Nothobranchius furzeri: one gene and its partner. The protein of the gene in region 1 interacts with the protein of each later gene in a pairwise test. Links are inferred from orthologs where the notes say so. Each region holds a gene or a part of one and is shown on either strand. Other genes may lie near its edges.

Region 1 (4,304 bases):
ATATATCTCAGACCTTATAAGTATTCACACCCCGTCCCGTTCACTCAGATCTTCTTCTTCCATCCATCTTGCGGTTCCTTCTGCCCGTCTCGCTACCACGGGGAGCAGAGCTTTCAGCCGCTCTGCTCCTCGACTCTGGAACTCACTTCCCCCAGACATCAGGAACGTCGACAGTTTTACCCTTTTCAAAACAAAACTCAAAACACACATGTTTAAATCTGCCTAAAACCTCTGATTTTATTGAAATGTTTCTCTCTGTTGTTTCTTCTTTGGGTTTTATTATTGTTTTATTGTATTTTATTACGTGTTTTGTGTAAAGTGACCTTGGGTGTCCTGAAAGGCGCTTTGAAATAAAATGTATTATTATTATTATCATTATAAATCGTCTTTATTTGTATAGCGCCTTCTTAGGGTTCTACAACCCCCCCAAGGTGCTTCACAACACAGTCATTCACATATTATTGCTATTTTTTAAAGACAACATAAGAACCTCTAGTTTTATATGAAATTAATTCTGCACACGTTTTGTCTGCACCTGCTACTGCTGACAGTTTTTCTTTCCTGCAGCGTTGGAACAAATCCTGATGTAATGACGGTTTTCTTATGTTGATATGACCTATCAGGAAAAACAAACATCTTGTATTTATTATTATTATTGTTGTTGTTGTTGTTGTTGTTATTATTATTTCATAACTATAATTGCTATGACCCAAAATCTATGCTGGAATAGTGATTGAGCACTTTTGTAAAAGTTCCAGTACTTTTATTGCTCCACTGAAAACCAGATTGAAGTTTCATTTCATTTGTTATTTTTTTCTCATTCTGCAATTTCCTTCATCACTAATTCACAACACACTCATCAAGTACAATGTTCCAAGTGAAAAAAGAGAGACAGCAGGGAGGAGGAAGAAGTTAATGTTTTCTATAATATGTGCATTTTTTCTTTGCTTGTAATGAAATAAAAACGATCTAATATTGCCACTGGGGTGATTTGTAAACTCATCATACTTCTTTTGACTTTTGAGAAATTTGACAACAAATGTGTAAATCTGATGCTCCTAATATTTTTAAGCACAAATACGAATTAAGTTACCACAGAATTCACATTAAGAATCCACATGAGAAGTTATTTTCATAACAATAACAACGAATTTTTATTATGCAATTTTACGATTTTGTCAACAATTTTTGTCAGCACCAAAAATAAGCTCTTATTTTGAAAAAGTCTGACGAGTTGTGCCTTTATTGCGAAGTTTTAACCTCCGGAAGTGCGGTGCTCGGTTCGCGCTGGTTCTTCCGAAGCTAGGCTAGCCGAGAGGATGCCGTCGATTGAATACGACGAGTAAGAGTCTAAATGAAACGTAGGGTTTTTGTGTCTTTATTGAATGCGTGTAACCGTTGTAATAACGAGTTTGTGTGATTCTATTCTAGCTCAAAGCCCAGCTGGGCTGACCAGGTGGAGGAGGAAGTAGATGAAGGTAAACAGCATTTTAGCTTCGCTAGCTAGCTCGGTGGCAAATGTGACCTAGAGGGTTGGATGCTTAAGATCCTAAAACCGTAGGTGATAATAACCCTTGATGAAAACAGCAGAGGCTTATTCACAAGTTTAACAATTTTTATTTATAGATACAACCCAGGTCGGGATAAAAAGTAGACTAAAAACTCTAAAACACGGGAGGGAGGAGCGACGACAATGCTGGCCCTGGGACTACACACGCAACGCCATCTATTTCTATTTAAAAGCACAAAGCCGCTGTAGGGACCCGAGACAAGAGACAATAATATAAAGAAAAACACTCAGTGCTCCCCTGACCCGGTTACACAAAGGAGGCCGGTGTTGCAGTTCCACGTGGTTGAACAGCATTAAAGACGAGCTAAAATATGCAAGTTTGTTAAATTTTATAAGAATCTGCCCTTAAATCAGTCATGGGTTGGCGTGACTGAGAGACGAACGGCTTAAGAAATTGCGTTATGATAATGAGGCAGTGGTCCCCTGACAGTGACGTAGGGGTGTAAAAACAGTCAAGATAATGATGCTGACGGAAACTAGACTGATTAAATATTCATAAAACATTTAAAGTCGTCAACTGTTCCAGTTGATGTGAAAACGAAGATGTGACGTCACATCAGGAGCATCCTGATCCTGACAGTTCAGATCAGTCCCAGATAAACTCACATTTAGTTGAAAGTTATTAAAGTATCCCCGGATGTTAAGCTTATGGTTGTTTTTCGTGCATCTGCGAATGTTGTATACCTTTATCTTGATTATATTCTTACTTCCCATATTTGCTGTTTTCTTACTTTAATCGTTCTTTTTTGCACAAAGTGCCGCAGCAATTTCCTAATCTGATTTCTCGCACATATGTCACTAAAACCCTAATGATTCTGATCCCATAGGCACATTACCATCACCAAAGGAGACCATCAAAGGAAACATCAAAACAATCACTGAGTATAAGATAGATGATGATGGTAAAAAGTTCAAGGTACTTTGTTTATGTTGCATCAATAAATTTAAAAGGCAAATAATAAATGTCTCCTGAAATATTATAAGTGAAACATTTTGGTTCTCTAGATTGTGCGGACCTTCAAGATCGAGACGAGGAAAGCCTCAAAAGCTGTTGCCAGAAGAAAGGTCCGTGTTTTATTAAATCATATCAGTGCAGTTAATAAATGAACCGCCTTCTGATATTTACCACTCTCATTTCAGAACTGGAAGAAGTTCGGCAACTCTGAGTTTGACCCACCGGGTCCTAATGTTGCAACCACCACTGTCAGCGATGACGTCTTCATGACTTTCATCTCCAGCAAGGAGGTACAGGATATGTCCAAGTTGCTGTTTTCCTTCAGAACGCAAAAACGAACAAGAACATTCTTTAGGAAATGTTCTAATGGAGCATCGATAGTTCGCAGCAGGTTTAAAATGCTGCTTGCACTACTTTTTACAGCTTGCTTGGTGTTCACAATTACCACATTCAACAGCTCTAGATCTTCTCATTCTGTAATGTGACTCAGAATTTATGAAGTTCATGGCTGCAAATTTGTAATTTTTACTGTAATCAAGTTGTTTTATCAAAGTTGCTAATCTTGCTTTTTTTGCAGGACCTGAATGCCCAAGACCAAGATGAGGATCCAATGAACAAGCTCAAAGGGCAGAAGATTGTGTCTTGTCGTATTTGTAAAGGGGACCATTGGACGACCCGCTGCCCGTATAAGGACACGCTGGGCCCCATGCAGAAGGAGCTGGCTGAGCAGCTTGGGCTTTCCACTGGAGACAAGGAAAAGACTGCTGGTTCTGGTACCATTATCACCATTCTCATTACCACACTTGTCTGCTGCTGCTAGTTTCTAAAGGTGTGACAGTAATTGTGGCTTTTCCTAGCTGAGCCAGAGCCTGTTCAGCCTGCACAAAGCAAAACTGGAAAGTATGTCCCGCCGAGCCTGAGAGATGGAGGCACAAGAAGAGGGGAGTCTATGCAGCCTAACCGCAGAGGTCAGTTTGTGTTGGTATGGGTGCTACATTAGCAATATGTGGTCATTTTTAATCTGGTCATGCAGCGTTGAATAAACGTCTCAGTAAAACGAATCATTGCGTTTAACAGCTGATGACAACGCTACCATCCGTGTGACCAACCTGTCTGAGGACACTCGTGAGACAGACTTGCAGGAGCTTTTCAGACCGTTTGGTTCCATCTCAAGGATCTATCTGGCAAAGGACAAGAACACGGGACAGTCCAAGGTTAGTGCTCACCTTAGGGGTGACTGGGCTTTACAAGTGCTGGCCTTTCACAGTTTTTCTGCAACCTGCTGTTATCTACCATCTAGGATTTGAGATTGACGCTGAAAAAATCAAGAATCATCAGTCAGATTTTTTTTTATTGCTCTGCAGGGATTTGCCTTCATCAGTTTCCACCGTAGGGAGGATGCTGCCAGAGCCATAGCAGGAGTGTCAGGATTTGGATATGATCATCTTATTCTCAATGTTGAATGGGCCAAGTAAGTAAATTATCACTGTTGTCAGTAAAATGATCAGTGTTTCATATTCACTAACATAATTTACTTCTGTTACAGACCATCAAACAACTGAGGACTTCATCAGAATCTTAACAGAAAGATGCCAGAATTAATGAAATGTGGCCGTTACCTAAATAAAGATAATTTGTCGCTGCTTCTCTGTTTGACTCTGTGCTAAGGTCTGGAGCCTAGAGATGGTTCTTTGAAGTCATGTTTTACCATCTGCTGTAGAACAGTGGTTCCCACAGTTGGTCCCTGTGTCAGTCATGGACAATGTGTGTAGAAATTAC
Region 2 (4,271 bases), on another chromosome or scaffold:
AAAGTGAACTCCTGGTGTCTGGCTGTCGTAGATTGTCGATTTGTGAACAACTTCAGTCAGAAACTCAAAACTAACAAACTGCAAATCACAAAAAAACAGTTATTTCAGGGATGAGCCATTAGGAGGGCTTATTTGACTGTCTCAACATGCAGATTTTCATTCCACAAGCTGTACCTGGACAGCACCGTAGCAGATGGAGAGGAGCTGGGCTGGAACGTGGCCTTTCCAGAAAGCAGAAAGCCCTTCTTCTGTGTAAACGCTGCGTGAGGCCTGAAGGATTCCACAGTACTTTCCCTCAGGTCTACGTGACGACACACGCTCGATCTGCAGCTGTGGGAGGAAACACACTCGACTTATGCAACTAACTTTGTAGATTTCCATCCACACTGTTATTAAATGATTCCTTATGCATCGTTTTGTTGGACTTACATACCTTAACCATTCTTATTATAAGTCTAATTTTCAAAGTGAGCATAATCTGTTAATAGTTGGATCCAGCTCATCCAACACAAAAAATTCACACAGATTAATACCTGGAATCTTATTTTGATGACATCAAAAGGACTGATAATGGCTCTGGTGGCCAGCCCAGCAGCTGAACCAGCGATAGCTGCCTCCCAATGGGTAGGAGCTGCATTCTGCGCCCTGGGATCATAACCCACCATCTCACCACAACACTCCTATCAACACTGAAGACACAAACAAAAGTTCCATTTTTGACTAATTTTATTTTTTAAATATCCTGTGGTTTTTAAAATGTCACAGTTATCTGCAAACAATATCTCTCAATGTATTCATTTAACACAACGCTTTAATCAAAGTTTGCACCATGTCTGCGGACAAGTAGGGAGAAGAATTGTGCTAAGCTAAGCTAACAACACAACATCTGTTCCTTCGTTGTTGTAGCGACAACAACACGCTGACAGATGTTTACCTTTTACTAAAGAGCTGTCTTCATGAATATAACTTCCATTTCTATTTCTGTCTTCAACAAATTTCTCTACGATAAATCCATCAGCTTCAGATCTCAGCGTAACCCTGAACGCAACGTACTAACCACTTCCGCCGGTTCACTCAGCGCATGCTCCGTCTGTCAAAGATTAAATATTGGGAAAGATGAGTCACTGCCTTACAACAAACCGGAATCGAATTGTCCAGTATGTACAGTCTATGCAACAAACCTACAACCGGTCTACCACCGCCCTGTCACCATTACCTATCTCTAACCCTCATTCGTACACACTATTCTTTTTACAGAATTTACAGGTGATATTTTAAACCACTCAAATATTGGTGATACCGTGAAAATCTGTTAGGATAGTTTCATTAGTCCCGGTTGTGTTTTATGTGGTAACAGGAAATGCAGGTTAACTTATCTTTGTGTTTACATTTATTCTTTGAATGGTTCAGACGGAAGTAGCTTGACTAGTGGTATGATTTTGAATAGGTAAAGTTTCTCACATATTCTTGCATTCCATGCTTATTAACTGATGTGTGTTTTCTACCTGTTTGATTTTATTTATTTATTTTTTTTACATTTAATCGCTTTTATTGTTTTGGCGGGAGGTATTCCCTAACGGAAGCAGCTCGCGAACCACACGAGCTAGCACAGTGTTAATAAGTTAAATGTTGTTTTGATTTGGCATCCGCCTGTTTTTCGTTATAAACCCAGTAATAAACAGCGCCCATGCATAGCATTGCATTGTTTCGGTCCGAATGCGTGACTTGTATGTGGCTAGCAAGTTTAATTTTATCATGGCATAATGAAAGCACACTTTTGAGTGATAGGTGGTGTTTGTTGACCTGAGCTAGCCCAAATCCCCTCAATCCCGCAGTCAAAGAGCTGTAGGGAGCAGCCAGTCTGATGACTCCGCGGTTTCAGTTCTGTTTAAAAGACTCGTCGTGTCTGATAAAAGACTTGCTACATGTTGTTCTTCTGAAAAGCACAGTGAACATGGATGATCTTTCCTTCACAGCGTGACATCTCCCAGGTGTAACTTGTTCTTCACCATCTGACATGGAAAACTCCACCGATGACTACAAAATCCAGTCTTTTGACTTGGAAACGCAGACATTACTGAAAACTGCCTTGAAAGGTCAGAATTTTCTTTAAACTTTTGTGTAAATTATTCAAACTGTATAATTCGTTTTCAGTTCCTTCATTTAAATGTTGTTAAAAATGAACGTATATATTACAAAAGCCATTTTCTTGCCCTCAGATCCAAGTTCGGTGAACCTGGAGAAGGTCTCAAATGTCATCGTAGAGCAGTCTCTAAAGGATTGTGTGTTCAGCAAAGAGGCCGGACGTATTTGTTACACTATTGTGCAGGTCAGTCAGTGGTTGTGGTGCTTTTGTTCTGAGTCCTCTGCCTGCTCACCACCCTCCTGTTTAGTCCTGATTCTCCCTGTTTGCCCAGGCTGAGGCCAAACAAAGCAGCGGAAATGTGTTTAGGAGGCTCCTGTTGAACCGACTACAGCAAGAGTTTAAAGTACGTGAAGAAACAAGAACACGCTCTCTGCAGGAGTGGGTGTGCTACGTCACCTTCATCTGTAACATCTTTGACTACCTCAAGGTAAGAGACAGAGACAAATTGAAGTTTTGTCCATGATATGAAGATATTTTAAATATATGAATTGTTAAATTACTCTGGATCATTTCTGCAAAAGTACTTTTCTTCGTAAGTAAAGCCTTTAATATATTGTTTATTGCTGTAGTAACCAAGAAGAAGGTTGTATTAATTTGAGACCTGGATTTCTTGCTGTAAGTTAGAACTTTGAACGAAACTCCCAGCCAGCAGAAGGCCTAATAAGACACTGTATTGTTTCAGTTTCACTTCCAGATTCATAACTGGCTATAACACATTACTGCGCACATAGGTCAATCAAACCAGAGCATTTAGTACAGATTTTGACCTGTGTCAGACTTAAACCACATGATGGCAATATTTGTCTGACATCAAGGTGGATCTCAATGACAGACATTAAAGTGACAATGTGTAATTTTTACCATTAATCTCTGGAAATACCCATTGAAATGTTGTAAATTAATTAAAAGATACCAAGTTGTTGAAAAATATTGACAGTTTCATAGCATTTAACCATAAAAATCAGGTCTAAAATACACGGGAGTGGGTCTAAATCTCTAGGCGACGCCATATTGGATGCCATGTTTCCTTCTACGGAAGCCCGTGAGGACAGAGTGTATTTACTGATTTGTAACAAATGGTTACTAAACTTTCAGCATTAATAAACTTTGTTGTTTTACACATTTACCTCTTCACTTGTTGCCAGGGATGAAAGGGAATCTGATGTTCTTGTTCAGGGTATCCGCGGGTCTTGGAAAGTCTTGAAAAGTCTTGAATTTAATTTAGGCAAATTAAGACCCTTAAAAAGTCTTAAATTCATTAAGTGAAGTCTTAAATTCGGTGAGTATTGATGTGTATTTAAAATAAGTCTGTATATTAAAAATAAACGTGACAAGGTAATAAAATAAACCAATTTTTAGGTCTCTGCCAGCCGTTTTCGTGCATTTCCGTTCCACGTGACTTTGGCCACCGTGTATGTGACGTATTTCGCCAATTCAAGGAGAAGATGGTGGAAGCAAAATGGGGAAGCAGCCCCGGCGTCAGGGGGTCAATTTGAGGGGCATTGCCCCCCCCCCCCCCCACCCGTACCTCCATGCCCCCCCATTGGCTATCAGAGCGGTAATGTTATTATAATTTAATTATTTTTTTCAGTTAATTTTTTTTGGGGAGGAGTCACAGATTGTATGAATTCATATTCAGCTAAGGGAAACCAATAAAATTCAAAATACAAAATAAATATTTTAAGAGACGTCTCGGCTTGTGTCATGTGATGCATGCGTGCGTGGTGCCGCAAGTAACGCACCGACGTCTGTTTACGCTAGGAAACGGATATCACGGTAAACGAATATCACGGTAAACGAATTTAACGACACAAACGATGGATATAAGGAAATTCTTCCAATCACCACCAACTACAAGGTAAAACTGAAACTGCACGAGCGACAGCTTAGCAGGAGTGTCATATTGCCGCAGCAGAGAAGAAGTTAGGTGAGCAGCCGAAGCTAACTAGCCGTAGCAAGACTGAGGCACAGCTTCCCCCAGTGGAGCCGGAGCATGAAGATTTTAGCGCTAATCCCAGCTGCAGTGGGCTCTCCCAAACCCGCTCTCCCAAACTTTTCTACTTTAAAAAGTGTTCTCACAGACAACAGACTTAGCATGCTACACCAACGAAATGCACATTTAGTG

What was found.
Region 2: the proteins of eif3g (region 1) and mif4gdb interact in binary tests that used the Homo sapiens proteins (3 or more experiments, as listed by UniProt). The link is inferred for Nothobranchius furzeri from reciprocal best matches to the Homo sapiens genes EIF3G and MIF4GD.

What each region holds. Positions count from the first base shown.
Region 1 is NC_091745.1:3,309,895-3,314,198, forward strand, and holds eif3g (eukaryotic translation initiation factor 3 subunit G), read left to right. Parts: upstream 1-1,238; 5' UTR 1,239-1,319; coding exon 1,320-1,342; intron 1,343-1,431; coding exon 1,432-1,478; intron 1,479-2,397; coding exon 2,398-2,486; intron 2,487-2,575; coding exon 2,576-2,635; intron 2,636-2,710; coding exon 2,711-2,815; intron 2,816-3,102; coding exon 3,103-3,298; intron 3,299-3,382; coding exon 3,383-3,493; intron 3,494-3,602; coding exon 3,603-3,739; intron 3,740-3,889; coding exon 3,890-3,996; intron 3,997-4,071; coding exon 4,072-4,087; 3' UTR 4,088-4,168; downstream 4,169-4,304. UniProt on the Homo sapiens protein: RNA-binding component of the eukaryotic translation initiation factor 3 (eIF-3) complex, which is required for several steps in the initiation of protein synthesis.
Region 2 is NC_091752.1:54,310,151-54,314,421, reverse strand, and holds the start of mif4gdb (MIF4G domain-containing protein B), read left to right. Parts: upstream 1-1,166; 5' UTR 1,167-1,266; intron 1,267-1,356; exon of another isoform or gene 1,357-1,447; intron 1,448-1,455; exon of another isoform or gene 1,456-1,492; intron 1,493-1,976; 5' UTR 1,977-2,017; coding exon 2,018-2,096; intron 2,097-2,219; coding exon 2,220-2,329; intron 2,330-2,417; coding exon 2,418-2,573; intron 2,574-4,271. Other genes in the region: slc25a19 (mitochondrial thiamine pyrophosphate carrier), read right to left, coding at 1-78, 175-330, 534-665. UniProt on the Homo sapiens protein: Functions in replication-dependent translation of histone mRNAs which differ from other eukaryotic mRNAs in that they do not end with a poly-A tail but a stem-loop. May participate in circularizing those mRNAs specifically enhancing their translation.